4 linked regions of the Oryzias latipes genome follow. The protein of the gene in region 2 interacts with the protein of the main gene of each other region in a biochemical or structural test. Links are inferred from orthologs where the notes say so. Each region holds a gene or a part of one and is shown on either strand. Other genes may lie near its edges. The genes, in order: vangl1, discs large homolog 1-like protein, pbk and slc16a3.

Region 1 (8,091 bases), on a different chromosome or scaffold from region 2:
GCAGACAGTCATAAGACGTGCTCGGGCGAGTCCCCAAGGAGGTCTGACCCCGGTCACGTGGCGCATGTGTTGTTGGCCATGATTGAGCTAATGAGGGCTGCTAGATTTGTGCAATCTAATAAACATTCTCCAGTTTCACTGATTAAGGCCCAGAGAAGTTTGGTATGAATGGAGAAGAAAAAAAGAGAGTTCCTACTATTATTCAGGGAGATAAGTGCAGTGTTGACTGTGATGATCCCGTGTTGTTGATAACTGATCACGATAAGAAAAGAAAAAACAGCCTTAAGTATGATGACTCTGACTAAATAAGCAGTTATAATAAGCTTAGACTTCCTGATCAGTCAAATAGACCAGCTGCAGTTAAGAAATCTTGATTTGAAGGTCTGATCTGAAACTAGTGTTGTAGAAAAAAGCAATAAACGTTTAACAAAAAAAAACCTTTGCTTTTGAACTTAACAGATCATTTTGCATGAAGACATCACACAGTTACACCAACCAATTTGGTGTTGATGAAAGGAGGATTAATCAGAAAGAAATAGATGTTTTTCCTCACACTTTTGTCAAACCAAATCATTGGTGGTTTACAGGGAAACCATAACTTTTATATTAACGCAAACCAGTTTGCCCAAGAGATCTGATCATTGACTGTATAAGAGATCTGAACTGAGTGAATGTGATGTCTCCAATCATGCTTCTGGCACTAAAAAAATGAAGTCAAATGCCTTTTTTGTAAAAACAAATGCCACCATGCTGGAATCAGAAATAGTCAGTAAGTAATGATTGGTCCGAGTTGGTTCAAGTCCTCATTTCTTTGGCAACCACTTTCGTCAATCAGGAGAGACCTGGACAGGTCGCATGTGATGTCACGCATTTTTTAATGGGTGACATCACACGCGACCTGTCCAGGTCTCACATTACTTCCGGCTCCAACAACATAAACTCAATTCAGTCGCCATTTTTCCACGATACTGACATCGCCATGTTGGAGATAGTCGACAGTGATTGGTCCGAGTCAATGTTGCTACGGCAAATACTGTCACAAATCAGCCAATCAGCAACACGAAATCTGTCAATCGAACGTTTTGAACATTCGACGAGAGACTATAATTGAGGCATCTGATGGGTCAGTTTATAAATTTAATAACTTGCAATAAAAATTATATATATAATGGAGAAAAAAATGATTATGAAGAACATGTTAAAAAAAGAAGCGGAGCAAGAATCTTTACTCTGATAAACAGAATGACTTTTGATGATTTTTTACTAGAAGTCTTTGGGATTTTGTCCTCTTGGAACCAGTGGGCACTTCCTGTTTAAAATGTAAATTGTTTTTAATTGATGAAATTGTTTGAAATAAGCCAAATTAGTCAAAGCACTCAATAATAAAATGATGTGTTGCTTTTCAAAAGGCTAAACATTTGCTGTGCTGTATTTGCATAACTATAAATTGTTAGCCCTTTTTGGGGGGTTTCAACTTGTGTTCATTTGGAAACAGAAACTGAGGGGATAAACACAACAGTTTTGTTTATTCCCTGCAGATTTTTTTTAACACAAAAACCAACCCTGGATAAACTGATCAACAGTTCGAAATAGAATTATTAATAAGTAACAGGAAAAAAAATCATACTTGTATATTTGTTCATTTTCTATCTAAGACTGAGAGAAAAACATCTTCAGGTTAAACTTTAAAGAAATGCTTCTGCCGCTTCCTGAATTAAAAACCATGGCTGACTGCATGAAATAGTTTGTACAGCTGCACCACTGCAGAGCAAAAACCCCAAATCTGAAGGTGTTGTCAGCCATCTGATCTCATACAAACCTGACATACTTTTACAGGAGCGGAAACTGAGACAGAAGCTGTGTTGACATGAAACAAAACGTTCTCCTATGGTCGCCCGCTTTCAAGCGTAAAAGTCTCACCTGATGACCGTACATCATTTATGATGAGGAAATTAAGAAATTTATGAAGGCCTGGGTTTTCACAACAACAGCACATGTCTGAAACGTTGCTTTTAATAACACTGACATTGGGGTTAGTATTGCAAACATGTTTTTATGCATATTTCTGCTACGAAAAATGCTTTTATGCTTCTGAAGCTACGGCAAAGTGCATTCAAGCGACTACTGTCAATGAAAAGTCTTTGGGGTGTACAAAACGTGCGGCCATTGAAGGCCTGTTGAAAGTTAAACCAGATCAAACTTTGACCGATCAGGGATTTAGATTTGGTTATGACGTATGGATGGCGTCCCCTTTTATTCACAGAAGGGACGACCGTTCAACAACTCATTGTGGACGAGAAATTGATAATTGCAGTTTGTATTTCGGCTTCCTGAATTTAACTCTATTGACCTCAGAGAACCTCTCTTTAAAGCCCCACTCTGATCACGTTTTGATCTCTTTTTAAGAGTCATCTCTTAATTATGATTAGGTCGTTTTATGCAAAAAATCTGTTGTTTTACTAAGGACAGTTTCTGCAGGAGTTCATAAGAAATTCGCCTCTGAAATTCACGGGACTGTTAGCAAGGAGTGACCCCGCCTCATCATCATCATCATCCCATCATCCATCAGTTTACACTGCTAGCTCACAGCCCCTCACATCCCCCAACCTATCAGTGCAACAAAAACAGTGGGGAATATTGGAGCTATCAAGAAGTACAGTTTTGAGCCAGACAACAGATTAGACGAGGAAACAAAAACGTACACGGATCTTGTCGTCTAAAAGTGAATGCATCAGAATGGAGCAGAGCAAGGAGCTTGTGGCTTGCCATAGTAGCTTCTACGTCACACCTACAAGTTTTTTCAAACTGCATTTTTTCACCTGCTCCTGGTTCACAACGATTTACTAAGGAAACACTCAGATATGCGATTTTGAGCTAACTTCATTTAAATATGTCCTCCATTATCAGAAAAAGGCTAGACAAGAACATAATTTTCATGATCTGAGAGGAACTAGTTAACTGACAATTCAACATATAATAAATCCTATCTTTACGATTTTTATTTTATTTATTTTCTTACACAACTTTTCAGCATTTGAAATAATGTTCAAGTCAATAAATAAATCTCGAAATGAGCCGCTAAAACAGAACTTTTAGAGCCACAAGTGGAGCAGGTTGATGCGTCCCCACCTGTGACCCAGCAGGCGGACCTCCAAGGCAGGAAACTCCCCGGTTTCCCTTTTGGCCTCAACGGCACCCACCCTCCTCCTCCTTACCTGACAACCCCCACCAAAGCAATCAATTCTTTGGTTAAATAAAAAAATATATATATTATTAAAAAACGGCCAAACATGAATTTAAAAACACGTGTTTGGTGTGCTTGGGAACACTTTCCCCAGATACGGTGTATCAATCCGCGTGAAGTGTGCCGCCGCAGGTTACAGTTTACAGCTGAGCTGCGGTACTCCAGCAAAGCGGAGCGAGCCCACCCGTGCCAAGCACGGCCAACTTCTCCCCCTGTAACCCGGTGTCTTTACACAAACTGGGTCCATTGGGGGGCGTTTATTCGGCATACATGGCCTCACTGGCGAGCGTAGCAAGTCGACGCCGCGGCACACGAGCGCGTTAACTTTCTCGTGCCTGACCGTTGATCACACCGCAGTGACTTTGGGGGGATTCAAACGAAGTTCACACAGGTAGACGGCCAGGGCGTGTTCCCGGATGTTTTCCAGCAAATACACGCATCCGGCATGTCGCCAAAACATCAAGAAGACAGGAGGGGGGGGGGGGACATATCCATTTCGAAACGCATTTCTGAGCAATTTAGAAATTGAAGCGGGACGTGAAAGCCGTCAAGACGGCAAGTCCACGCTCACGCTGCAGTATATAAACATGATAAAGGGGGCAGTAATTAAATCATAACTCACCTTTTATCGGGGGAGATATCATCCCTCTGGTTGATAATTCATCCACAGGTTGTAAAGTAGTTCCTCCACAGCTCCAGATTAGGTACAGTAGGAAGTAGCCCTTGGAAACCGCAGGAATCACCCTGGCAGTGAGGAATTTCTACGGGGGGGGGGGCTGAGCTTCCCGGATGCAGTGCCGTAACAATCCGCTAGGGGGCTGTCGTGAGCTCAGATAAAAGTGAGCATGCTGCAGGAGATATTTCATCTCAGGAATTTACAGGTAACTGTAGCTTTTACAGGAATTTCTGCACACAAAAGGTTATAAACAACATATATAAAATAGTATTTATGCACAACATAAAAACAATTAGATTTTATCCAGAACTGCGACTCCCTGTTTGAACCCAATGTACACATGTTTGTGCATCTTACCCTGTTATTTCAGTGTGACTCTTTTTTTTTCTTGCTTCAAGGTAGTGTTTTTGTTACGGTCCACGAGGCCGAACAAGGTAAACAGTTGCTACTCGCTGGCTGGAACTAAACAAACGGGTGGTGCGATTGCAGACGCAGTCACTGAAAGACACACAATAAGGCCAACCAGGCCTTGAGACAGCTCCTGAGAGGAGAATGGAAACAAACACTCCTCCTCCTTTGATACTGAAGGCAACCACAATTGAAAATCCATTGTTTGCTCAAAGACAGCTCTTCTCTAAAAAGGTCGGAAGTTGGTGTGAAAAGCAACACCAAACCCAAACCCAACAGCCAGGTTTATGGTTGTGGATTGACTTTACATCTGACTGTGTTTTTGTTTGCTTTGTAATTAAACCACATTCTGTTTGTAACCTTCACCCCATATTTTGTACCCATCCGTGATAAAAGTCCAACTTCTACCTGTCCATAACAATCGGAGGGCAGAGTGCAGATACAGTGTTCCCTAAGCGATTCCGTGATATACCGCGATACTTATTTATAAACTTATATCAATATATATTTTACCAGCGTCTGACTCTCGTTTTCCACTTGAACCGCTGACCACTAGTTGGCAGCGCCGCACACTGAGCCTCTGTGAGCAGCAAAACGAGATCTCCCGAAAATCAGCTTGTGTTAAATGCTAAATGTTCAGTCAGCCTCGCGGTTTTTGTTACTATGAAACAAGTACTATTTAGGTTTTGCTTGGGACGGGGAACCAAACGAAACATCGGTGCCACGTTGCGGCCAGTACCATATGAAAACGCGGATTGTGATGCTTTGTAGTGGGCTCCAGATGACAAGTGACACTTGAGATGTATTGCGATACATATTATTTCGTGACGGTCATATCGCGGTACGCATCGTATCGCCAGACCCCTACTGTTCCCTCATTTATCACTGGAGTTGTGTTCTCAAAAATATCTGGCGATAAGTAAAATCCGCGAAATAGGATTATAGATGTTTGAAAACTCTAAATCTCCTCATCACACACTTTGTCATTTGTTTCTTTTGTCTATTCTTTCAAAGTTTCGACCTATTTTACAAAAATAAATCAAGTATTACAGTATGAAACAAAGGATCTGCTTGCGATCAAAGATCTAGACAACATTGGCAAACTGAAAGCATTCTGCACAAGACAAACGGCATAGAGATTGACAATAATCTACAGCCAATCACGACGCTGAACACAGTGGACAGTGGAAAAGCAAAAAAAACAAACAAAAGTGCACTGAAAAAAATCTGTGAGATGAACTGCGACGTAGCGAGGGTCCACTGTACCACATGCACACTACACAGTCTAAATTGGAAAGAGAACAGCTTTTTATACCTTCCACTGTCGTACTTCTGACGAACAAATTTTTTACGGTTTTGCTAGACACGTTTGAGGCAATCAACAAGGAAAATCATTTCTCTCTGACCAATATATTTTTTCGTCATTTTACCACATAGATTAATAATAAAAAGTCTTTTTTTGTTTTACTCTGCTGGTGTTACATCAGGTAGTGCGCTTGCTTTCACATTTTAGTGACCCGCAGTAGGGTTCACTTACATGTGAACAGTAGAAGCTGGTTTTCAGGCGTAGCAATTGTACTTGTTTGGTTCACACCATAGTTTAAGTCTAATTTTGCAAGTTAGCAAACAAATCAGACAATTCTGACAGTAAAAACTCATCAAAAATAAACAACCTGGTTTTCATTTTAATTGGTTTGTTTGTAAGGTTAGGGGTTAAAAGTATTTAGCATTTTGCTGCAGCTAAGGTAAAATAAAAATAACTATCCGTGCCATCTTATTTTGAAACAAAAAGGAAACTTTTATGCCAATTCCCATATCATGATACTGCCACCACCATGAATTACAATGGGAATGATATTTTGGTTGGAATTTAGTATAATAGCTGCAAAAGATTACATTTTTATTATTTTTAAGAAAAGAAAAAAAAACTGTTTTTCTTTTAGATCAAGACTTTTATGGAGCGATTTGAAAAATTTGGGATTTTAGTCCTCAGACACTTTAATGCTAGATTTAAAAAAAGTTTCTTTGTGCCGCTGATGATTTTTTTTAACACGTGACCTTTGGCTGCACATGGATGTGATGGCTTTTCTTTTTTTTCCCCTTATGCTTTGACACCAACCGGTTTGCGCTGCCTTGCCATTCTTCATCCTTTTGTGCCACAAAACGAAAGCAGCTCATCATCATCTCTGTAACAAAGCAACAGACCCCCCTCTTCCCCCCAGCAAATTACACAACTGTGTATGAATCAATATTTCGTTCGCCTTGGAAATGCATCTTTAGTAACACACTTCACGCACCGTGAGCAATAATTCACCCCCTCCAGAACACTGAGGGGGTCATGACTGGGGCACGACCCCTCTCACTCTGTAAAGAGCCAAACAAACACCGATCTGCGGGGTGGGAGGTGCGTACTCAAGTCCAGCTTAGCGTCAACAAAGTTGTTGTTTTGTTTTGTTGGGATAAAACTTTCCCAAAAAAATGTTTTTTTTTGCTGCGTTTTGAATACATGTTTATCCCAACAAACAAGGAGTGTAGTTTGAGGTTATAGTGCCACCGTGTGGCGGAAAGCCATCAGTGCTTGCGAGGAGCTTTGGCAAACAGAGGCCACTTTTACCAAAAACAAAAGATTTTAAACTACTTCATTGAGGGGTTTTGTCTTAAATATCACTTCATTTTTCTGCTAAAGTTTTAAAAGATGGTGTTAAGTCAGATTAGGATCAATTAAAGTTGTATTTTGGATAAAAATCTAAACCTGGTGACATCTAAATGAGCCCCATTTTCATCCACGCGCCTCCTCTGACTGCGCACACCCAGATGGTCCCGCACAGAGGAAGCGGGGCGGTGGGGGTGGGGGGTGGGGGGGTCAATTCGATTTGGTGTCCTGAAGATGGATGGATCCCTCCCCAAAGACACGGACTTTATGAGTTTAGAGGCGGCGGCGAGGGTGTTGGTGGTGGTGGTGGTTGGGGGGTGTCGGTAAATATGGTGAGAGAAAAAAATGAAAGTGCGTAAAAAAATGAAGATGAAGTGGGAGGAGATGCAGTTTGCGGGAGCAGAGGAAGAGGAGGAGGAAGACCACAAGCCAGAGAGGCCAAACTTCTCATGGAGATGTTTGGAAGAAAAGAAAAAAATACCTACAAAAGTTCTACTGTTTAAAAGTCGGATGTTTTTGTGTAAGAAAAATCATTACCAGAATGAAGTTTTTATTTTGTCTTTTAGAAAAAGCTAAATCTTTTTTATTAAAGGTGAAATATTTTGATGGAAAAATAATTGAAAAAGCGTCAGACAAGTTTAAAAAGAAAAAAAAGGTATTATTGTTGATGGAGGACACAGGAAGAAATTGAAGCTAAACATTTTATGTCTGAGTATTTTTTTTGTGAATCGGTAGCAGACGAAAAAATGCAGTTTGAAAAAGATCGTATTTGTGACGTAGAAAGTATAATCGGTGTCCCACGAGCTCCCAGCTCTGCTCCATTCTGATGCTTTCATTTGTAGACGACTAGATCCATGAACATCTTTGTTTTCCTCGTCTGAGCTGGCATTTGGATGAAAACTGTACGGCTGGATAGCTACAATTGTGCTGCACCAGGAATGTTAGGTGGGGGTGATGAGGGGCTGTAAGCTAGCGGGACAGCATGTAAACAGAGAGCTCTCAGCAACAGGAAGCTCAGGGAGGCCCAACCCACAACTCAGAGGGCAAATTTCTAGTGAACTACCGCCGCTCTGCAGAAACTATGTACTAGAAAACGACACATTTAATAAT
Region 2 (7,584 bases):
ATCAATATTTACTCTGTGGGAGAGTTGATTTCCTGCAGTGGAGGGTGTTGCACAGGTTCTGGGTTGGGCGTAGAGTCAAACAGACGTTTTCTCTGTGGTTTCATGTTGAGTTATTCTGGAGAATTAGCTCATTACTGCGGCCATGAAGCTGTTATAGAAGATCAGAGTCTCCAAATGGCTGCAGACACTTGACAAATACCACAGCTGCTCCGCACTAACATGCTGAGAGTAAAGGTGGTGGTGGTGGTGGTAGGGGGGGGGTGTCATCAGACTGAGGTAAGCTGTCCTTCTGTAAAAACCTATGAGGTCAGGTGAGGGAAAACAGAACATTACTGTCCTCTTCCTCTGATTAACCCCATTCTCTTCAATCAGCTTCTAGCTGTCTTAGACCCCTTGGTGCCCCCTCACCGAGCTTTGCCAAGGACATGGTGAGTTGTGGGTTGGACTGCTGGCGCTGAGCAACCCCGCCCCCATTCCCCTCCCTGTTGCTGAGAGCTTGGAGCAGGGAGCTTGCTCGGATTTTCTATGTCACAAAAGGATCTTTTTCAAACACCTTTTTTTTTCGTCTAGTTCTGTTTTACAACGATTTGAATAAAGAAATACTCAGAATGCAATTTTAAGCCTAATTTTCTTAATATACATGCCCTCCATCATCAGCAAAATGCCACAAGGACATGTCAAAAACACCAGCGGGGTCTCACTTACTCAATGAAAAGTGCTTCAAGACATTTAAAAATCTTATTCGTTAAGAAGGATTTCATCTACATCCCTAAAAGCAGTGCGCACGTCTAACACCTGCATTAGCAGTGGGCTCTCATCTTCAGCTTTGCTTTATTTCCCAGAACAGCAGAGGAAAAGCCGGTCTGTGCTTGTGTACGTTCATGTCCTGGGCTGTGTAAGGTGCAGGTACATGGAAACGTGGGTGAGGTCCAGCTCAGTTTAAAGAGACTGGATTGGTCCTGCAGGAGCTGGAAATGGAGCTCAGAGGTTTCTCTTAAAAATCTTTTTTTGTTCACTGGGGGGGTGGGGGTATTGCTGATGTCACAAATAAAGAAAGCTGCTCTTTATTACTGCTGAATGCTCACATGCTGAACTCAGGTCTCATCATCTTAAAATCCATGGAGAGATGAGGAGGAAGAGGAGCAGCAGACATTTCAGTTTGTTTGAGGCGCGGGGGGGGGGGGGGGGGGGGGGGGGGTGCCATGCATGTGTGGGTTGGTGGGGCGGTGCCTCGTGTTAAAGCAGCAAAGAAAGAGAGGGGGGGGGCTGACACTGAAACAACATGCGTTTAAGGAGCTGGTCTGTTATTCCAGACGCTCATTAGTAGGCAGAGATCAGCTGGCAGCGGCGTACTTGTGGTGAAAACGCGTTAAAGTCACGGTCATGCTGACAAACATGAAAACAGTCTCAGGAGCCCGCGGCCCTGGGGAACCCTAGTCCACCTTTACTACAAGGGATGAAGAGGTAAAGACAGTGGAGGTCAGAGCAGAGCTCTTATTTGATGGGGGGTTCGGCAGGACCAGGGTTCCACAGGGTTTTGGGGCCTCACTCACCCCTCGCTCTCGGGACTTGGCGTTAAACTTGACGGTCTTTAACCTGGCGCGCTCCTTCTTCTCTACCCTGTGGAGGACAGGAGGTCAGAATGAGAGGGATGGATACCACATCCATGTGACACCTTAATCATGGAGCGTCTCTTCCTTAGTTCCAAGGTTTGAAGCTGTAAAGCAGTCGGGAAGGAAGGACTGCTCTTCTTCCTCCTCAGAGTGTGAAGGAAAGTCAGAACTTAAACACCAACCATAACACTTTTTTAGCTGGATTTTAAATGAAGAACTTCTGTTAATAGCAGCTGCTTTTAAGGAGCAGAAGGCAAAGACAACATGTTACCCTTTAATACGTGTTTTTTTATGTGCACTGGTCCCTTGTTATCATTCACCTTTCAAAGATCTGATGATTTTTTTAGTTCAATTTTGCGCTCTTTTTTTTTTTTACAGCGCATTGTGCTCTGCGTCCTGATTGGCTGTACACCATTGTTACTCTTTGTCCTGCCTGCCATGTCTCCTGGACAGAATGTGTTCGGCTTGCAAAGATGATCTTTGGTTCCATTCTATAGCACTGGACTTGTTCATCTACCAAGTTTATCTTTGAAAGTTTAAAGAGAGAAAATGTTCATGTGCATCTGAGAAAAGTGTATAAAGTGTGTAGAGAGGAGTTTTACAGCCTTAAACATCTATAATAATTGTAACAAACAAAGCTGCAGATTTCACCCTATTGTGGGATATTTTTAGACTATAACTCCTGCGATAAACGAGGGACCACTGTATGTCTAGATGCACATATTCTGGGTTCCAGTGAATGCATCACAAAACAAGATGAGATCTGACCAAAGGGGTTTAGATGATGCGCCTTCTACCCAGGTTGACTATGAAAACCTAACCAACCTGAAGTGAAAGTTGACCTAAAGGTGAACCTGAAGACCAACCAAAAACATAAAAATCTCATCTGAAAGTGGAGCTAAAGGCAGACCAGAAACTAGACATAAAAGAAGACCTGACAGCAGAGCTGCAGGTAGACCTGAGCAGAGATCTGAATGCAGACACGAAGTCAGGATCAAAGCTGCGTCTGAAAGGCTGACCGAAAACTAGAGCAGAACGCAGGCATGAAGGCAAGCCTAAAAGTGGATCTAAAAGCCAACCTGAAAGGGGACATGCTGGTGCACCTGTCAACCCGTCTCCAGATCTCATTAAAAGTTCCACTTACCGTCTTTTGCTGGGGATGACTCCCACCTCCTCCAGCTCTCCCTTTGGCGCCACATGCCTGGCCTGCCACCACTCATCGTCAGAGGCATTTACAACATGGAGAATGTCCCCAAACTTAAAGTTGAGACCCTGACTGGGCAGCCCCGAGTCCTTGGTCTTATCATAGTCAAACAGAGCTCTGTAGACATGGAGAAGCTCGTTATTGGTCTTTTGGTCAACCCAGCCTTTGTTGGCCAATATGGGAGCGCCGCTCTAACCTGACGTAGAGAGACCTCTTCTGGCTGGTTCGCAGGGATCCGGAGCCTGAACTGATGCTGCTGTTCATCATCTGCTCGCGCAGGTCGTGGATCTTCGCCTCAAACCGACTGTACTCTTAACAACCACAGAGATTCAACACAAACATCGTCAATTCATTTTATCCAAGAAGCACCAGTTTCAGAAGAAAAAACATCAAATACAATTGTTAAAATCCAATAATACAATCCAGTTAAGTCCAGATCAGTCCTATAAGGCTAGGTATGAAGTTGTGGTGTTAACCTTAAACTGAGCAAACATAAGACAGTGGAGAGAAACACGTTTTAAATGGAAGAAAAAGAAAAAACCTTAATAGACTCAGTAAACTATTAATAAACTTATTAAATAGATATTTGTAAACGCAACAAAACAACATAATAAAGATCAACAAATTTAACATTACTATTATCTGTTTAGATCAAAAGCATTTGTTAGTAACTGCAAATATGAGAGCAGGAATGAGACAGACCTAGAGAAAAACTATTGAAGAAAAAAAGACAGGCCCGCTATGATAAGCTACTCCAACAATGGCACAGACTCATGGGATTGACAGTGGAAAGCTCTACAGCAGCGGTCCAAACCCCAGAGCCCAGAACCAGGATAAAGCCACTGCTTGGAGAAGCCGATGAGACGCACGATATTCATGCCGGGGGGAAAAAAATAATTCCTCATTCTAGACTAAGGAGAAAAGACGAAAAGGCAAATCTGGTAATTGATGAATTTCTTTACGACATTGCAACTAAAAGAAAAATTAAGTGTTGATCATTATTAGTTTTAGAAAATTCTGATGAAATCTTCTGCCGTTTCATCTTTTCTTCATGTAGAATAAAGAAACTTTTTTTTTCCTGGCACTGACATTGGATGGTCCAAGCAGGGCCCCAATTGGGAGACAGTGAAAGGTTGCTGATTGGCTGATTTCATGACGACCAAAAGAACTGTACTTCTAACTTGAGTGTGTCGGTGTGGATTAATGCTTGTGCTCCTATGTGCATGTGTTCTTTCACACACGGACAAAATGTTTTATGGCTAAACCCTTATTTTTTAATACAGCTACAGTACAAAACAGACGCACATTCAGACGCGGATGTACAATACTTTTACAACAAGTCTATCTTCATAGAAATTGGCGTCTGATTATTTTAGCGTCCACTTTAAAAGTTATGGGTTAAGGGAAATTCTATATCATATCTTAATAGTTCCTACATAAAGTGTATAAATAAAGTCTAGAGTATCTGCAGGTATTTTACAGAGGATGACCGCTAAGGAAAACTGGAAGCTAAAAATAAATAGAAAAAACAGTCTATGGCCTGACAAAGGTTGGGGACCACTGATCTACAAAAAAGACGGTTTAATTTCTAATGGGTCCCTGAAGTGACCAATGGCTTTTACAAACAAAACTTTGGGACTATGTCTATTAGTTTCAGTGAAATCTCTACTGGTGATGGAGTGACGACTTCAAGAGTCAAATTACACTGAAAATAATGAAAAATTATTTGTCGCAGATGTGGTTTTACCGCAGACTTCTGGCTTTGCAGAAGAAAACACACCTGACCACCAACCGAACTCTGTTAGCATTAATCAGTGTAACATTATCCCTGAGCTCCTCCACAAATGGTACCACAGAGCTCTCAGGGAGACAGCCTGGAGTCATGTGATGCTGTCCGCCTCACCTTCTGGTCTGTACTGGGTGATGATGGTCACAGTCTGCCCAGCGTTCTTCAGGGTGGCTGCGGCCTGCTCGTGTGTGGCGGCTCTGAGGTCCACCCCGTTCACCTAAAGACGGAGAATAAACAGTGGTGTTTCATCAAATGAGTTGGTTCAGAGTGCAAACAAAAACTCAGATAAATGAAGTTCTTCCTGTTACACATTTGTAATGTCACTCGTGAACATGTTCTCTCCCCATAAGCTCACTGTTCCACCTTACAGATACTCGTCTTGCTGCCGCTGACCTTCAATCCTGTTCTTTCTTTCCTCTCTCTAGATGATCCTCCACCTGATCCCCGCTCTCTCTACAACTGAGTGAGCCTATGTAACGGATCAAAACACCACTTGGAAGAGTTGCCAGATAAAGCCCCCCAAGCAAGCAAAAAGTGACAGTACACAGCAAAACCTGAATCGAAACAAAGTAAAAAAAAAAAACCTTGTTTGAACAAAAAATTCTTGTTTTTTTGTCTTGCATGAAAAATTATCTTTTAAGAAAGTTCTTCAACAAATTGTCGAAGGGAAAATCTTAGTTTGATAGGTGAAAACCATTACTGTCACATTACTGGCCTTTCAACAAGCAGAATAGTGTTACCAATCGATGAATAAACAGAGTGGTTTTGGCGAAATGAACAAAGAATTGGGAGAAGAAGACGCTAAAAGAAAAACGATGTTGCACACAATCATAAAGCAAAGTTGTGGGCGATGTTTAGTGTCTATATTTTGCACGTTTGAAAGGCAAACAAGCACAACTTTACACACAAATGCCTGCAGTAATTGTTTTAAAGAGAAGTTGACATAGCAAAAGATGACAAAAAGAAAGCTTATTTTCTGCTAATGTGAATTTGTTTGACACAAGAAACAACTATAAAGAAATAGGCTATCCCACATTCAGCGCTACAAAGTTTGTAGTTTAAATGACACACCAGTTAATTTATCTAACGCTGACATTTGGTCTTTTTGTCATCAAAAAGTCACATTTTTACCATCAGCAGAGATACAGATTTGAGGCAACAGCCTGAACATCCCACCTCAAAGGGTTTATATCATGCATAGTGTACTTTTTGAGCTTTTAAGTTCCTGAAGGTGCATAACGGTGTGTAAACACCTACAGATACCAGCCGGTCTCCTTTGCGCAGCTCTCCAGAAAGGTCAGCTGGCCCCCCAGCTAAGATGAAGGAAATAAAGATGCCCTCTCCGTCCTCGCCACCCACAATGTTGAATCCCAGTCCGGTCGCCCCTCGGTGCAGAACCACCTTCCTCGGCTCCCTGTGGGGCAACCATAGCTATAAATTTGTGGAGGTCAGAATAAAATAAACAAAAATCAAGAATGCAGCCTCATCTTCCTCTCCAGTAGGCCAGAGGGTTACAAAGCCCACACTTGCAGTTACATTATAGTCGTCTTAATCCTTTATAGCTGAAGCCGAGTCTGTTTAGGCAGAGATTACTTTGAAGGTCACCTCATGTTTCTATCACAGAGAAACCCAGACCAGTTAAGAAAAAAGTAGCTGTAGCAGTCAGATGATATTTTTCTCTTGCATAAATTGTGATGAGGTGGTTGAATGAGGCTTTAATTGTAGGGTGGTAACATTAGGACAAACAGCTAAACATTGGGAATGATCTGTGAATCAATCAATCAACCATTTTGAATGAATATTTATGCGCGTGTTCTGCCGTACTCACCGAGTGACACCGTCGTCGTCTGCTAGCGGGCTCATTGGTGTGGGCGAGTAGCATCCCGAGGATCCTCGTGGTTGAAGCTGGTGACTTACAAAATTGGGGGGGCTGATATGATTCTCCATGTGCTGTGAGTAAGCTGGAAGAGACAGAGCATTCGTGAACCAAAAACGTGTGCGCCAGTAGAAACACCCATTTGGATGAGATGGGAGCTGCAGAATAGGGGGTAAAGTGAACCTAGGAAACTGGAGACGGTCTGATCGGTTTACAGCAGACAGGTGAGCTCCAGCTGAAACACCAAAGGAATCCTCTGCAGTTTAAACTCCAAACAAACCTTTTTGTCTTATAGAATCACAATTCCAAGATTCAAAACCTTGCTTTTCATTTCAGTCAATTAAACAACAACATTTTGTATACCTTTTTGGATATGCATTTGATTGAAAAAAAAAAACTGGGGAAAGATGAAAAACAGATGAATAATGTAAAAACAGGTCAAACAAATAAGTAATAAACATAAATAAAGGGAAGTGCAACCAAAGGAAGAAACAAAAAGCTTTTTTTACTACTGTATGGAAAAAATCCTTTCGTAAAAATACTGAATACAAGGTTCACGTCACCAAGGGTCTATCTCGGGACCGAGCCTAGGGTTGGCCTTCCCCCGAGCTCACAAGGAAGGTCTACAAGGGGCTGGTGCCGCAACAACCCAATCCTCAAAAATGGACTAATCATCGGGACATGGCCTGTTACCTCCCTAAGTGGGAGGGACCCTTAGGTTGCAGAAGGGTGAGGGTCCTGGGTAAAGATAGTTGGGCATGCGCCTCTTCAAAGTTTGGACTCTAAAACCCAACCTTTTGAGAGGGCTAGACTCTCAGGAGAAGCAAGCAGTTCTCTGCCACTACCGTCTACAGTGTGGGTGAGGAGCTGTTGACCTTGAACAGGGAAATGCTGAGAGGTGGAAGAATCTCCTTAATTCTGTTGACATGATTTCATAAGAAAATAGTATCTGGGGAACCAGAAGTGGGCCAATCCGTCCCCCAAGCTGTAGTCAAATGGAGAGTGTCAAAAAGCACATCGGTTGCAAGGTACTGGAGACAGATGAGGTCCACCCTTACTACCTCAAGTCTCTGGATGTTTTGGGAGCGTCTTTGACGGCATT
Region 3 (8,151 bases), on a different chromosome or scaffold from region 2:
TAAAGTCCACTTTAGCTTCGTCACCTGCAGAGGGAGCCGTGCAGGTTAACCTGTGGTTGCAGAACAGAGGAATTGACCTTCAGACTGATTCTGGTGGGCTTTGGGGTAGAGCTGAGATGGTGTGGGATTTTTGATCACCGCGGTGATGAACCAGCAGGGGGGTTGGTGTCGCAGTTTCCCCCAGAAGCCCTTGAAGTCTGAACACAGGACTAGCAGAAAAAGTAAATGATCAGCAACGATGAAGGTTTCATGTTGTAGTTCCAATCACCATAGGCAGAACTTTAAAAACCGTGCGGTGATGAGGTTATCGTCACGCCTCTACTTTGGGGAGCTGCAGGGCTGAACAGACTGTTTGTTTGCAGGACGCTGGTCAGAAAGGCTTTGGAGCGACGACCTGCAGCTCCTGTGGGATGGTCTACAGCGCAGACAACCCTGAAGACGTCTTCCAGCATTCCCACTTCCACCTGAAGCTCCTCAGCTCCATCAAGTTTGTGGTAAGAACCAATCAGCTGGTTCTGTTTAGTACGCCAAAGTGTCTCAGCAGACGCCGTCACGGTTACAGTAGTGTATATTATGGGATGTAGGAGTGTTAGATGGAGTTCATTTAAGAACCAGAGGAGAAAAAAAGGAGCGTTAGAGGAGGAAGGTAGACCTGCTGGAACGGTAGTTAGAAGCTCAGGAGCAGGGTTCAGCTTGTTCTGTCATGGTGGGGAGGGGTTCTCCTTCAGGGGGGGGGTTATTCCGTTGCTTGGTGCAGTAATGGAAGTCATGAAGGTCCTGTACCCCCTGCACCCCCACCCGGTGGGTTGTGCCATGTCACGCTGTCTGCTCTCAGAGGTGGGGGGGTCATATCAGTGTTCTGGTTGCAGGGCTGGAAGAAGGAGCGGGTGGTGGCCGACTTCTGGGATGGAAAAATTATCCTGATTCTGCCCGAAGACCCCAAACACGCCCATAAGAAGGTAAAACCGGACCGGCTGGTCCTCAGTCCTCGTGGACCCGGCTGACAGGTGTGTCCGTACGCAGGCGGAGGACGTACGGCGCGTGGCGGACGACGAACTGGGTTTCCAGCAGGTGGCGCTGAGTCGGCCGTCCCGGTCCAAAACCTACCTGTTCATCAACACGGACAGGATGGTGGTGGGCTGTGTGGTGGCTGAACCCATTCGCCAGGTGGGGGTGTCGATGAGGCCAGTTTTTGTTTCCAAACCTCTCATAACCCAGCGTGCCCCCCCCCACAGGCCTACAGGGTGGTGCAGCAGGCGGCTGCAGCTGAGGCTTTGAGGGACGACATCCTGGAGCGCCACCGGGCCTGGTGCTGCTCCACCGTTCCAGAACCGGCTTTGTGCGGCATCAGTCGCATCTGGGTCTTTGGGCCGGCCCGGCGACAGGGCATCGCCACCCGCATGCTGGACACAGTCAGGTGGGGGCCCACGCCGCCTTTTTATCCGACACGGCGACTCCCTGAATCCTGACGCTCCTCCTCTCTCACAGGAGCTCCTTCGTTTTTGGAAGTCACCTGACCACAGAGGAGCTGGCGTTCTCTGACCCCACCCCTGATGGGAAGCTGTTCGCCACTCAGTACTGCCGCACCCCCACATTCCTGGTGTACAACTTTGTTGCCTGAATGTTTGTGTTGAAGTTGCAGAGTTTTAATCCCGTTTCTGTTGGTTCTGAGAAACGTGGAGACCCGTGTTGTTGTACAGAACTTTAATAAACCTTTCTGATTCTACCATCGCTGTCCATCACTGACTGAGCATGCTCAGTGCCGGCCGTCCAAAGCCTGGACGATCTGGGATGCAGACGGTCTCTTCCTGGAGTCTTCTTCTGTGCAGACGTAGAAGAGCTCCACCACCCTCTGGTAGCAGCTTCCCAGAGACTCCGCCTCCAACGGCGGCCGCGTCCCCAGACACTCGTAGTAGGCGTCTTCGTCGAAGCTCCTCTCCGTGGAGTCTGAGGAACAAACTGAAGTGTCGGTGACCCACAAACTAAGACGGCTACATGGCTGCGTAAAACCGCACACCTTCATCCTCACCATCCTCTTCCTCCTCCAGCATCTCCAGGTGAGGCATGGACAGAGTTATCATCTCCCACAGCGTCAGGCCGTAGGCAAAGATGTCCGCCCGGTCCGTGATCACGCCCCCCTCCAGAGCCTCCTTGGGCTTCCAGGGCTCGGTACCGATGTATTCTGCTTCTGGGTCAGAGACTGAAGACAGGAAGTTGTTACTGGACAGCAGCGGTTTTCAAAATAAAGGCTTTCTCTTGTGGTTACATGATTGGAGGGGGTGGAGTCAATGTCAGCCTGACCGCATGAGGCTGCAGGTCACTTCAATAGTTTTAGATGGAAATGTTTTTACTGTTTCAACAAAGGTGCTCCGTCATTTCGTATGAAGCTCCGCCCATTCACTCCAGAAACGTGGAGGCCATAAAACAAGTATTTGTTCACAGTGGTGAGTTTACATAACCTGCTTCCACACGGACTAGCTAGCTGCCGAAGATCAACTTGAGTCCTACTGAACATGCTCAGACTGGACAGCTCACCTGTCATGTTCTCGTCTAATTGCAGAGACACGCCCACATCGCAGATCTTCACGCTCTCAAAGTCTCCTTTAATGACCACGTTGCAGGACTTCATGTCGCCGTGCAGCAGCTTCTTCTCGTTGTGGAGGTACTGAAACAGGGAAATCGTGAAGTTCTGCAGGAGCACGCAGAAAAAAGGAGGCGGGGTCTCACCTGCAGGCCGCGCGCCACATGCAGGGCCACCTTCTCGATGTTGGCGGCGGGGAAGGCCTTGAGACCCTGCTCCCTCCTCTGCTCGATGAGGTCGTTGAGTGACCGCTCCCCGCCGTACTCCATCACCAAACACTCGGAGCCGTCTTTGGCGGTGGCCACGGCGCGAAAACCTGCAGAGGGAACAGACCGTGCAGGAGCATCCTGTCGTCAGACCCCCCCCCCCACGTTTGACCGTCTATCGCCTCCTTACCGATGATGTTGGGATGGTCGATTCCTCGCAGGAGGCGGGCCTCTTCCTTCAGACGGTTCTGGTAAACGGCAGCCTGTTTGGATTCACATTTGCTGTTGATCTTCTTCACTGCCCACGGAGACGCGTTCATCTGCTCCTCTCTGGGGGAGGACGGGACGTTCAGAGTCTTTACTGATCCACAGCCACACCCATAACCCCTAGAATTCCCTAAAAGCCATCCATCCATCAGAAAAACATCAGAAGCTGTGACCTTTTCCTGTGCCTGAGTGAAAGCGTGGGTTTGAGAGCCGGACAAGCCGTTCTTGGCTGGACCGAAAGCCTCTGCCCCACCCATCATGACGCATCAAGCTCTTGATCAACCAACAGATTATCATCAACGCCACACTGAAGGGAAACCGCTGTCAAGACTTCAGGAGGTTCTAGAGCATCCGTCTGTCCCCGACAAACATCTGACAGCAGACGCTTCCAGACGTTCTGAAGCACAAAGAAGTGATGAGAAAAGTGGACGCAGTGGTTGAAGAAGCAGACATCAGTGAAACCAAAAGACATCCAGCAGAACCATCAGTTCAGATCTGACAGTGAGACTAAAGTTCACCCGTCTGGAAAAGTCTGTCCTGAAGGACTGTCAGCCAAAAAAAACAACGTGGAGGCAAGTCAAGTCTGAAGGAAAACTGGAACTGCGGTGCCGTCAGAGGATGATCAGGACCGACGAGGCCAACGGTGAAATAACTGCAGAAGAAGACGGTTTGTCTTCTGGGTCCACAGGAGAAGACTGTTTCTTCTTCTGGGTCCACAGAAGAAGACGGTTTCTTCTTCTGGGTCCACAGAAGAAGACGGTTTGTCTTCAGGGTCCACAGAAGAAGACGGTTTGTCTTCTGGGTCCACAGGAGAAGACGGTTTCTACTTCTGGGTCCACAGGAGAAGACTGTTTCTTCTTCTGGGTCCACAGAAGAAGACGGTTTGTCTTCTGGATCCACAGGAGAAGACGGTTTGTCTTCTGGGTCCACAGGAGAAGACGGTTTGTCTTCTGGGTCCACAGGAGAAGACGGTTTCTTCTTCTGGGTCCACAGAAGAAGACGGTTTGTCTTCAGGGTCCACAGAAGAAGACGGTTTGTCTTCTGGGTCCACAGGAGAAGACGGTTTCTACTTCTGGGTCCACAGGAGAAGACGGTTTCTTCTTCTGGGTCCACAGAAGAAGACGGTTTGTCTTCTGGATCCACAGGAAAATACGGTTTGTCTTCTGGGTCTGGGATCACATGACGGCAGAAGGATGAGACAAAGCCTGTGTCCAGAGAAGCAGGATGTTTGGACCCGCAGAGTTCCTGTCAGGTCCTACATGAACTGATGAGGACTAATTTGGATTTGAATTCTGTTTCTCTTTTGTTCACACATTTTTATAGAGATTCTGTAGCATAATTCAAAATACAAGCCAAAACCTCAAGAAGAATTGATTTTTCATTTTTTTTATTTTTTAGTTAAAAAATGCAGCTTCATTTAGAAAATTTGTGGTTTTGGTTTTTATTTTTAATTATGCTACAGAATCGCTTCCATACTTTTTGTTGATTGATGAAAATAATGAATCCTTGTTTTCTCCCTGATCCACTAAACTCCACTTAAAAGATTTACTGACTGATTATTTGACTTAAACATAACTTTTAGATGTTTCCTTCAGATATTTTAACATGTAATGTTACATTCTATTTACATGTAATGACGTTCATCCTCTGAAGCAGGTCTAAGGAAGAACATGTTTCTATCTTCCTGACCCACTATGTCCCGGTCCCGGCTACCGTTGGACGAAGGCGGGGTACACCCCGGACAGGTACCGGAACACACACCTGTTCATCAGGTAGACGCTGACTCCGGTACCGCAGCCCAACTTCTTCATGAAGGGCGATGCCGGGATGGTGACGGGGGTTCCCCCCGAACTCCTGGTCCGGACGGTTTTTGGAGTTTTAAATCCGCCATTGGACGCCATTCTGTCGGTAAACGTTCTACCAGACCGGACTCTCAGCCTCTACCGGAAACCGGGGTCGGTTTTCTGGTAAAGAGGATGTCAGTGAAACGTTTCTACTAAAGAAAATCTCCGTTTTCAAATGTTCTTACTGGTTCCGCGGAGTAAACAAACCACCCGCCAAAACTTTCTTTTCCGGTTTGGTCCGGGCTCTTCTTCCGGTTGAGTCTTGTTGCCGATGCGTATTACCGCCACCTAGTGGTGGGGGTCGTATTGTCATTTAATCTATGAATCCCCTTAATCTATGGCAGGGGTCGGGAACCTTTTTTGTCGAGAGAGAGCCATAAACGCCACATATTTTTAAATGTAATTTTGAAAGAGCAATACAATAATGTAGTGTCCTTTTCCCACACTGAGGCACGGAGACTTAACCTCTTTTAAGGTTCTTTATTCTGGTTACTGCAGACCGCAGCAAACGCCGAACAATTAATTCAGCAACTCCTGAATCTCTCCCGCCGACACGAGAGCGCTTCTCCCAACTTTATATTCCCCTGCTCCCGCTCCAGTCCTCCCATTTCCCTTATTCGGCCCATAGCTGAACCCCATTGGTCCAAACTACCTGACAACAGGCTGAGCGACAGAACTGAGAGCCAATCAGATCTCTGCTTGATGCGTTTAATGAACTCCAGAACGTTTAACGCGGCCCAACAGCCAAGTTAAACTCAGTCCGCGACAATATGTTTAAAACTAAATATACAAGTGAATGTGTGCATTTGATTTAATTTCAACATTTTTAAAGTACAATAAGTCTGTGGATTCTTTTTAATAACATCGTTATGCTGTTGCTAATAAACGATGAGTATTTCTCTTGGTAGTTTTGCTGATGGTCTAGTCTGGTTGATACGTGGTGAGTTTCTGCTTCATGCAGGCGTTGAGACTTTAAACGTGATCGTAGGTCTGAATGTTCTGTAGATGTGAGACAGACTGATCACATGCAGACGGGGAGACAAACACACACTCACACACTGCAGTGAGTGACGGGCAGCGGGTTTTACGTTTTTACAATCCCAGCGCGATTCACCTGCTGCCCTCACAACCCCCCCACCCTCTGCTTTCTTCCTCACACATCCCGTCCCCGCAACTGCGCGCTCTTTCTCAGAGACGGGAGCGCGCAGTTTTGGGCACGGCAATTCACAGGTTTCCGGGTGCACCCGGAAACCTGTGAATTGAATTGAAATAATAGATAATAGTAACTGATAGCGCTGGCGCTGAATTTTTCTCTCCAAGCACCGCTACTACTGCGCGCCTCTGGCATCGCATCGCGCCCGAGAAGGACTGGTCTAATGAAAAAAAAAAAAACTATAATTAAAGATTTGTCTGCGAGCCACATGTGACCATCAAAAGAGTCATATATGGATCGCGAGCCATAGGTTCCCGACCCCTGGTCTATGGTAATCATTGTCTTCCTCAAGAAAGATGTCATTTATCCCTTGTGCTGTCTTAGATGACCCCTCCCTTCCATTGACGTGTTCTCCCTACCATGACAAAGGTGGATAAAGGTGGAAAGATTTCCTGTAATCCATGGACACCAGTGAAGATCACAAATCATTGAAGGAAAAAGGTTCAGAGCACTGTCTAGTGGGTCTGAGCGCAGGAATGACATGATCTCAAGTTGCAGATGCATCATCCATAAAAATGGATTTCCAAATTCACCTAAAATCCAGACCACCAAAGGAAGAAAAAACCGTTTCAGTGACTTTCATACAGCATTTTAATTCAGATATAACAAAGAGAAGGTTGCAGTGTTCCCAATCCCAACAGACCATTTGATTCTCTGGTGTGACAATAATCTGGTTCTTTCTCAAGTTGAAATCATGTCTCCTGTCCACTAGATGTCAGTGTTTGCTGCAGCGACCCAAACTCTTTCAGCGTCACTGAAGTCTGCTACTGACTCTTTCTTTAGGTATTTTTTATTATAGTTAGTCTGCATCATCAACATCATGTAAGTTTACTAATGTAGACTATGACTTTATAAAAGCTAAAACGTGAGAGTTAATCAATTCAAAACCATTTCCTGTACTTTGTTTTCTCAAATAGATTAGTTTGACTTAAAACCATCTTTCTTAGTCATTTCCAGAAACACAGAAATAGCACACATTGTTGTTAGAAGACATTCATAGCAAAGATATAACTTAGCTTAGTTAACTCATATAAATCTGTTCCTAATCCGGTAATATTCACAGAGTAACCATGACAACCAACCCAGTCTGGCTTCTATTCAGCTTCATCAAATTGTAAGCTGGATTTGTCATTTCAGTCAAAACTCTGTCAGGATTTCAGCTTCTTAAAACGGGTCCTGCTGTTTTTTCTGCCACTGCAGGAGTTTTTCCTGTTCTTCATTGATTTGGTTCTGTGGTTTTTTATGTTGTTTCCATGGCAACGTAGTTCTTCTGTTGTTTGTCCAGTTCCTTCTATTGCCGTCTCTGCTGTTGTCGTTCCTGCTGCTGTTGTGTATCTCGTTGTTTGTACTTTTTCTGAAGCTGAGGTGGTGCATTCAGTCGAAAGTGAGAAAACCAGTTTGCTCTTAAGGCACTTGGAGGTGTTGAGAAAAGAGAGAACCAGTATGTCATGGAGAACAAGTGGAACTTCCTTCCCAGAAGATTCCAACCGTCTTATGTCATCTCCATCTCAGGAAACATTAAAGCTTCGGTGTCCGGCGGGGGTCCGACAGCGCAGGTCACACCAGCGTCCTCTACGTGGCCACAGTTGGTTTTGCCCCATCCGGGAAACTTGCACTGATGGATGGTGTCTTCACCCCCTGTGCAAGCCACATCGTCCATCCAGATCAGACCGGATCCTGCAAACGGGTACAGACAGCTGCGGGTCAAGATAGGGTTCTGCAGCACAAAAACAGAACAATGCACACACAAACACAAACACAAGGAAGTTGGGACCTCTGAACTTTTGTCCCCTTCCCCATCCCTGGGGGGGATGGTCCAACAAGAAACTGTTACAAATATAATCAATGTAAACAAAGTGTAGCCTGAATTACAAAAGGGGTTTATTCAAATATACCATTATATGTTAGCATCATGCCAGCAGACTTGCACTTTCCTGCAGTTTTGTGTTAGAAAGGAAAGGAAAGGCATAAAAGATCAAACTCTACTTTTATGGGCAAATTATCGATTTATTAAGTTTGGAACGATTCCGATCTATTTCA
Region 4 (7,643 bases), on a different chromosome or scaffold from region 2:
TGCCACAGTAAACACGCGCCCGTCCCTGAATGCAGAGAGAGTCCGCACCTGCGCGCAGGTAAACCGTCACCATGGAGACGGAACACGAACCATCGAGTCAGACGGTACCAGACGAAACCTGCTCTGTCCGGGAGTCCCGCACGAGCGCTTACCTGTTCCGCTGCGGACACTCCACGGTCCACGCCGCACCGTCACGATGGTGTCACACTCAAATCCCGCCGGCCAGAAACTCCGCTCCCGGCTCTTCTTCTAGTGGTAATGAATGCAGATAACATCTTTAACGCCGCAGTGGCGCCCTCTAGTGGTAAGTCCTGTAAGTGTTAATGCAGACATTTCCGCGATTAGAAACGATTACAATGACAAGAAGACTGCATCATCCAATTAATTACGTTCTAATTAATCAATAAATAAAAATCTTGAACAGATTTGATAAATTTAGGCACTTTTTAATCGTCTTTTTTATTTGTTTTTGTTGCTGAATTAGTTTGAAATGAACAAAAAAAATCAAATTAAATCAAATTTGAATAAGATATTTCAGAACACTAATAAATAACCCTTTGACACTCAGTAGTCTGGGACATTTTCAGAAGAAAATTATACTTTACAATTTCTATATCCTTTGTGCTATCCTAGGCACTTTAACATTGGGTGGGGTCATCTAGACCCCACAGGATAGCACAAGGGTTAAATAGTTTTTCAGTCCTTTTTTTTAAATATGTGATATCAATCCTTTTCTTCGTTTTTTAAAGACATATTTTTTAAATATATTACACATTTATTCCACAAAACTGTCTGAAAAACTCAATTCCGAGTACTGTGGTCCATTTAGTCATTTTCTTACTGTATGTTGCTTTATAACTAAAGATTAAACATGTAGAGACAAAACAGAAAAAAATAAAAATCCACAAACAAAGTAGAGACGAGGTCAAAACAATGTGAAAAATGTCTGACAGCTCCACTAAACTGATTTGGGGTTTCACAATCTTATTTTCAAAGCTAAGTCCCTGATGAGTTCAGGGACCGTGAATGACACGGGAAAGACCAGCATCTGCTGGATGGTTTCAGACGTTTGACGGATTCATCGTCTCAGTTTTCAAACAGTCAGGATTTCTAAAGTCTCAGAGATGCTCAAGTGTTGCAAGTTTGTTCCTCATAAGTTTTCCAAACATTTATCTGTGTTTTTAATTATTATTTTTAGATGTTATAGCAACAGAACAGGACGCTCTCCAAGAACAGGCGGCACTTACGTTAGGACTGGATTCTCATGCTTTCACTGAGCGGTTCTGGTTCTGGTTCTGGTCAGGTGCTGTGAAGCCTCAATCAGGTTCAATCTGAGCGCCTTGCTGTTCCTCCCCAGCAGGAGTCCAGAGCGGTCGGTTCTGACCCCATACGGGTTTGCTGGGGTGTTTTATGTCTGGGCTTCCTCCTTTGACCCCCACCCTCTTTGTCGTTGGGACATCTTCAGATTCTGACTGGCGTTCCTGTCTGGGATTCAATGATTTGGTTTTTTTTGCAGTTCAGTCAGGATGGTTTTGGTGAACGTCGAGCTGAGAGGATTTTATCGTTTTATTGCTGTTTTTATGTTCAACTTTGTGTTTTTTCTGCCGTTTCTTCATCTTAAACGTTTGTTTTCTTCGTCTGGTGTTGAACATAACTCAATAAATGATTCCGGTTTTATCTGCAGGCCTCCTAGATGGATGGAAACACGGTTTAAAAAAAGTTCCTTGACTTGAATCTGTCTGTGAACTTCAGAAAGGAATTCTCATGAATCCACAGAAACTTAAGAGACTAAATATTATCCTTTTTAATACAGCTTCAGTAAAACAGACGTACAGACAACACTGGACACTGAGGCAGCGACATTCACCACCCTCCTCCTCCTCACTCTTCATCACTGAGGGGAAAGCAGCATTTCTTGGGGACAAACGACGACACCGGAGTGAAGAAGCACGAGACAAACGTCGCCTCCCCCCCGTTCAGGACTCCCACAGCAGGGGGGCCAGCACTGACCCCCCCCCCACACACACACACAGACAGCTGTGACACAAAAATGTGAGCAAGACGCCACACAACAAACACAACAGAAACACACTTCTGGCTCCATCAAAGCTCTTTGCAACGTCGAACAGCGAAAGCAGCGTGTGGGTTCGTTCAGGACCGAAATGAGTTTCCCATGAGCCTTTGTGCTCTGTGGATGCGTCCCACCCGCCCCCAAACCTCCGGCTGATCCGCTTCCATCCCCAGAAAAGGTGACGGGAGGCTGAAAGGGCTCATGGGGGTTTGTGAAACGGGTGAGTTGGGCTGCTTTTGGTCTTCATCTGAGAGGGCCGGGGGGGGGGTCGCACAAAGTTGTGTTTTGCAGCTTGGGGAGTTCCTGCCTCTGTTGCCATGGGAACAGCCTCCGGACATCAACAACAAGGCGGAGGAATTTCAAAACAAAAGGTGGGTCCAGGAGAAGATGCGGCTGCGGTCTTCAGGTCTTATTGACTCTGTTTGGGACGTCCCGACATTGTCGGCCCCCTCCAGAGTTTTGGTCTCCATCAGTAAAGGGTTAAATAAAACTGAAAGCTATTGCTAAAACCCCCCGCCGACTCCTCCAAGCTATTGAATCAGTGCAAACGGCGTCCCGGTGTGATGAACTAACAGTAGGAACAGGATGTGGTCCCGCTGGTCCCTCGGAGGTCTTGGCTGGTGGCGGGCGCCACACGGCGGTTCTGCAGCGACTTCAGGCACAAACTTCTGTTACGAAGGTCTGACCGGCATTGGCTTGGGGATGTTGCAAAGGCAGTGGCTTCAATCCCTCCCCACCAAAACACAGAACAACACCTGGAATAAACATGGAATTATACGAAAAGCATTTCAGCTGGGATGGCGGCGGTTAAGCCCCTCCCTATTCCGCCTCACAGGCACGTTTCAGGACTGGCCGCCATGCTGCCGTTCGGCTGAGGTTCTTTGAGGAACCTCTCCACTTCCTGTGTGTTCACCATCACGCTCTTTGGCCTGACCTCCTCCCCCCTTTCAGCCCCTAACTCCTCCTCCTCCTCGCCTTCATCCCCCTCCCCACTCCTGCTGCAGGCGTTTGCTTCGGAGTCGTCTGTCACTGCGTTGCCCTCCGGCTTGACTTCCGGCGCTATCTTGATGAACAGGAAGTTACAGGTGGCCAAAACCACCGCTGAGAGCACGACCTCACATCCTGCCAGCAGGAAGATGGTCATGTAGTTGTGTGTGGCGTCGAGCAGCCGACCTGCGAAAGCAAAGAGAAGCAGGAAACCCGTCAGCGACCGAGATGAAGGCTGCGCTGGAGCCGGACGGTCATCAGACTCTCATAAATAGAATCTGATGACCTGAAAATGTTGGTTAAGCGCCCCAGCCCCCCCGCCCCACCGCCACAGGTCACGCTGATGTTTCAGCGCAGCTCCAACCTGAAGTACGGAGGTGGAAACCCAAACCAACAGTGTTTTCACTGGAGAATGCAGACGTGACCATGCGGCTCTATGGGAAGCCTTTTTAAAACTTGATTACAATCTGACATGAACACCTTTGCATTGATCTTATTATTGATTTCTGCCTGTCTTAGTTGTATTCTGTCATATCATAAAAGTATTACAGTCCCACTGCGATCACCTTCTGATCTGCTTCCCGGTGGTATTTTTATGATGATGAGGCTGTTTTTAGCCAAAATCTAGATCGTAGTTTCTGCTACGATCGTAGTTTCTGAGGACATAGTTTCTGCAGAGCGGCAGGAGTTCATCAGAAGTTATTCTCTGAGGTGGCTAGGAGATCACGGATCCACTGACCTCAAGTCTTATTTCCCATCATCCACCTGTTTACCCTCTCTCCTGCTAGCTTACAGCCCTTCTCCAACCTAACATTAGCGGTGCATCAAAAATGGTGATCAGTATCAGATCCATCCATCCGTCCAGTTCTGATCCAGATTCCAGCTCAGACCAGAAAAACAGAGACGTTCATGGATACATTGGTCTGCAGGTGGAGGATCTGAAAGGGGCGGAGCTTGGAGACTGTGGCCCCGCCCAGCGTATTTTCTCCATCACAAATAAGCTCTTTTTATTTTGTCTGCTCCTGATTCACAGCAATCTGAATAAAAAATACTCAGAAAGGCAAATTTCATCTTGATTATCATTATAAATATTCTCCATCCTCATAAGAAGGAAATGTTAAAAACACAACTTTAAATGACATGTACCAGTGTCCTAACTTCAGGTGAAGGAACGGCAGCTTGAGCGGCACCCGTCGTTAACGCCAGCTCGCATTCTTGCACCCACCTGCACTCGGCGGCCCCACCAGCACAGCAATAGCTTCCATTAACAGGACCAGGCCGATGGCGCTGGAGAATTTCTCCGTCCCCACAATGGTCATCAGAACCTCAAACTGCAGCGCCCCCACCATTCCATAGGAGATACCGAAGAAGATGCAGAAGACCACCAGGGACGGGTAGTCTTTGGACTGGAAAGAGGTGAGGTGTTAGAGCCCAAAGCACCTGAAGACCAGCTCTGGACGAACACGCACTCACCTGTGAGCCAATGAGGTCGGTGATTCCATTGAAGAGCATGGCAAAGCTGAAGAGGTAGACGCAGCGCGGCCGAACCCATTTCAGCCCAGCGATCACGCCACACGTGGGCCGCGCAAACATGTCAACGAAGCCCAGGATGGTGAGCAGCAGCGCCGACTTGGTGTCTTCGTTCCCCAGCTCCTTGGCATAGCTAACAACAAACACCGGGGGCACGAAGAGGCCGAGCACCATGATGGAGGCTGCTACGGTGTAGATGACAAAGCCGCAGTCTTTGAACACAGAGAAGTCCAGAAGTTTGGCTTTGGCTTTCATCTTCTCCTCCTCTGGGCTCTGCTCTTTGTTGTGGTCCTGTTTCTTGACCTTCTTGGGGTCAACCAAAGGCTTCATGAGGGCTCCACAAACACAGCAGTTTAGCAGGATGCCACCCAAGATGAGGAAGCCCCCCCTCCACCCGTAGTGGTACTGCAGGACCTGGCCCAGCGGAGAGAGGCAGCACAGCGCCACGGGGCTCCCAGCCGCTGAAAGGCCGTTGGCCAACGGCCGCTTCTCACTGAAGTACCGGTTCAGCATGATGAGAGACGGCTGAAAGTTCAGGGCCAACCCCAGACCTGCAGGAGGAAACACAGCCGGTTGTCCACGTGGCACAAAAGCATTTCCAGCAACATCAAACATGTAAACTGTGTGGTCCCTGGAATCACAGAGCAGACAAACCTGTAATGACTCCGGTTGTGAGGTAGATGTGGATGATGTTGGTGGCGAAGGAGCTCAGGATCATTCCCAAAGACGCAAAGAGGCCGCCCACCATCATGACAGGCCGACAGCCGAAGCGGTTCACCAATATGCTGCACAAAGGACCTGCAGAGAGCAAGCGGTCATGCATGGTAAAAACATTCAAAGTTCCTGCATTTCCTCTCCTCTCCTTCCTTCTCCTTCTTCCACCAGCAGTAGTCCGGTTTCTACTGTCACCCAGTAGGTGAGTCCCTGTTAATGCGAGCCACGACTGATCCAGCATGAAAGTTCTGTTTGTAATTCACACAACGGGTTTGTCTTTGGCGTTGAGTTGGGGTCGGTTCCTGACACAACCCTTTGCATTTACTCCGGCTTGGAACCAGCACCCAAACAACTGGATTGTGCCTCTTTGTGGTTGTGTTCTCAAATATGCAGGAACGATTGTTTTTAAATGTATTGGATAATGTTCCTGAAAACATCCATACACTGTTGTGTTTCTGTGTCTCCTGTTAGTGATAAAGATTGGAGACCCATCATCATCATCAGCTGTCCATGGGTATTATGAGTGTTTGGTATTTTGTTGCTCAAATATCTCTCTTGTCAACATTTTGCTTCCCAGGCGGGTTGCTGGGACATTCCTCTTACTGTTAGATAGGAATGTGGTTGCTGGTACGATTTCCCTTCTGTCATTTGCATGGGAACCACTGGGACGCTACTCTCCCTGCATGTTCCCAGGAGACGTTCGAACCCTCCTGCATGTCCTAGGAGGGCGGGTGGCCGGCCACTGTCTGTTTGGAGAATATTTTTCATTTGATTTAGCAGAAAAGGGGACAGTCATGGAACGCTGTGTGTTTGATGCTGACTCCCTTGTTTGGTGGTATTTTAAAGTACTTTAGTGGAAAAATTAAAGTTAACTCTACGGTGAGTTCTACATTATTATGCAAACTGTGTTTAAGTGTCAAAAATAAAATTCTTTGTTTTTCAGTTAAACTCATTTTGTGTCTCTGGGCTCTTTGGACCACGGACACCAGTCTACGACAGCAGTGACCATGAATTTACAAAGCAGAAAGCACAGATGTAAAGCTGCTATTGTGTCTGGAGTCCTACCAACATTGAGGTGTAGGATCCTCCAGAGGCTTGCAGTTCCACGTAAACCTTTGAAAACGACCCTCACAAGCAGAAGTGGCTGCAGTGGACCCACACAGACATGAAGACTCAGTTTCTTGTTTACTGATGAGTGCCGTACAACCCTGGATGGTCCAGACGGAGCAGTGGGTGGTTGGTGGATGGCAACCATGTCCCAAAAAGGCTGTGATGTCAGCAAGAAGGTGGTGGAGTCATGGTTTGGGCTGGAACCATGGTGAGAGAGCTGGTCAGCTCCTTTAAGGTCCCCTAAGGTGTGAAAATGACCTCTGAAAAGTAGGAGGAGCTTCTGACTGACCACTTTCTTCCATGGTACATAAAGAAGAACCGTGCACCACACCATCCTCCCCCTGATGGTGTGGCCCCCATCCTCCCCCTGGAGCATCCCATAAGCCACTTGTGTCAGGATTGGACGGCCTGAACTTGCTCCTCCTGAAGTTTCTTCTCTTCTGGCCTCAGGAGTGTGGTCTTCCTGTTGTGACGTCAAAAAAGAAAACTAGGCCCCCTGCCCGGCGTGCCCCTGAGCAATCCTTCATTTCCATAGAACTGGTCCACAATGCAGACGTAAACTCTTTGACTGAAACGTTTTCTCCTTCAATGGTCGGACAAATGGATGGAGTCATTGTAAAGAAAGACACGCCCAACCTTCAGATTTATGGACACGCGTCTCCAGGGAAGGTCCACCAGTGACTGTGATATCTGAGGGAAACATTCCAGCTGTACAGAATAAAAGCAGAGCCAAAGACAAACGAAGGTGTTGTGGCTTTTGCACCCAGAAATAAGCAGGAATTGAACCACGAGTCTGTGGATCAGCCAGAAAGAGCTTTTCCTCTGAGGGCGTGGACGTTCACAGGTCTGCACAGCACAGCGACGGAGGAAACGCATGGGAAGGAAACTGTTCTAGACTTTAGCAGAATGAAAATGAAAGTAGTTCAGGTCAGCCGACAGCATCAATCACTCAACATTTTACTGACATTTAAAGAGACACTCTGTTGAAATTTAAACTTTAACGTGTTCTTGTAGCATTTTTCTCCCGATGGAGGATGTATACAAAGAAAGTTACGTTTTTCTTTATTCTAATCGCTGTGAATCAGGAGCAGATGGAAAGATTCTGTTTCAAAAAGAGCTTCTTTGTGACGTCTTCCTGCTCCACTCCATCCACTTATAGACAAATAGATCCATGCATGTTAGATTTGTTGCAAAAGTGTGGAAAAGTTTTGTAGCTGCAACAAGAGATTCA

Evidence for each region.
Region 1: the proteins of discs large homolog 1-like protein (region 2) and vangl1 interact in a test that uses a peptide from one of them, tested with the Homo sapiens proteins (2 studies listed by IntAct, with this or other methods). The link is inferred for Oryzias latipes from reciprocal best matches to the Homo sapiens genes DLG1 and VANGL1.
Region 3: the proteins of discs large homolog 1-like protein (region 2) and pbk form a complex in vitro, tested with the Homo sapiens proteins (2 studies listed by BioGRID and IntAct, with this or other methods). The link is inferred for Oryzias latipes from reciprocal best matches to the Homo sapiens genes DLG1 and PBK.
Region 4: the proteins of discs large homolog 1-like protein (region 2) and slc16a3 interact in a test that uses a peptide from one of them, tested with the Homo sapiens proteins (2 studies listed by IntAct, with this or other methods). The link is inferred for Oryzias latipes from reciprocal best matches to the Homo sapiens genes DLG1 and SLC16A3.

The regions. Positions count from the first base shown.
Region 1 is NC_019860.2:16,765,210-16,773,300, forward strand, and holds the start of vangl1 (vang-like protein 1), read right to left. Parts: upstream 4,389-8,091; 5' UTR 4,278-4,388; intron 4,151-4,277; 5' UTR 3,867-4,150; intron 1-3,866.
Region 2 is NC_019875.2:12,824,953-12,832,536, reverse strand, and holds part of discs large homolog 1-like protein, read right to left. Parts: intron 6,568-7,584; coding exon 6,435-6,567; intron 6,021-6,434; coding exon 5,864-6,020; intron 4,824-5,863; coding exon 4,721-4,823; intron 3,129-4,720; coding exon 3,014-3,128; intron 2,935-3,013; coding exon 2,758-2,934; intron 1,621-2,757; coding exon 1,554-1,620; intron 1-1,553. UniProt on the Homo sapiens protein: Essential multidomain scaffolding protein required for normal development. Recruits channels, receptors and signaling molecules to discrete plasma membrane domains in polarized cells.
Region 3 is NC_019882.2:247,723-255,873, reverse strand, and holds pbk (lymphokine-activated killer T-cell-originated protein kinase), read right to left. Parts: upstream 5,142-8,151; 5' UTR 4,956-5,141; coding exon 4,816-4,955; intron 3,118-4,815; coding exon 2,978-3,117; intron 2,898-2,977; coding exon 2,728-2,897; intron 2,666-2,727; coding exon 2,536-2,665; intron 2,201-2,535; coding exon 2,018-2,200; intron 1,948-2,017; coding exon 1,757-1,947; 3' UTR 1,690-1,756; downstream 1-1,689. Other genes in the region: N-acetyltransferase ESCO2, read left to right, coding at 363-494, 870-959, 1,024-1,167, 1,236-1,417, 1,489-1,621; scara5 (scavenger receptor class A member 5), read right to left, coding at 7,604-7,788. UniProt on the Homo sapiens protein: Phosphorylates MAP kinase p38. Seems to be active only in mitosis. May also play a role in the activation of lymphoid cells.
Region 4 is NC_019866.2:24,924,962-24,932,604, forward strand, and holds the end of slc16a3 (monocarboxylate transporter 4), read right to left. Parts: intron 5,387-7,643; coding exon 5,243-5,386; intron 5,140-5,242; coding exon 4,532-5,139; intron 4,465-4,531; coding exon 4,284-4,464; intron 3,245-4,283; coding exon 2,901-3,244; 3' UTR 1,781-2,900; downstream 1-1,780. UniProt on the Homo sapiens protein: Proton-dependent transporter of monocarboxylates such as L-lactate and pyruvate. Plays a predominant role in L-lactate efflux from highly glycolytic cells.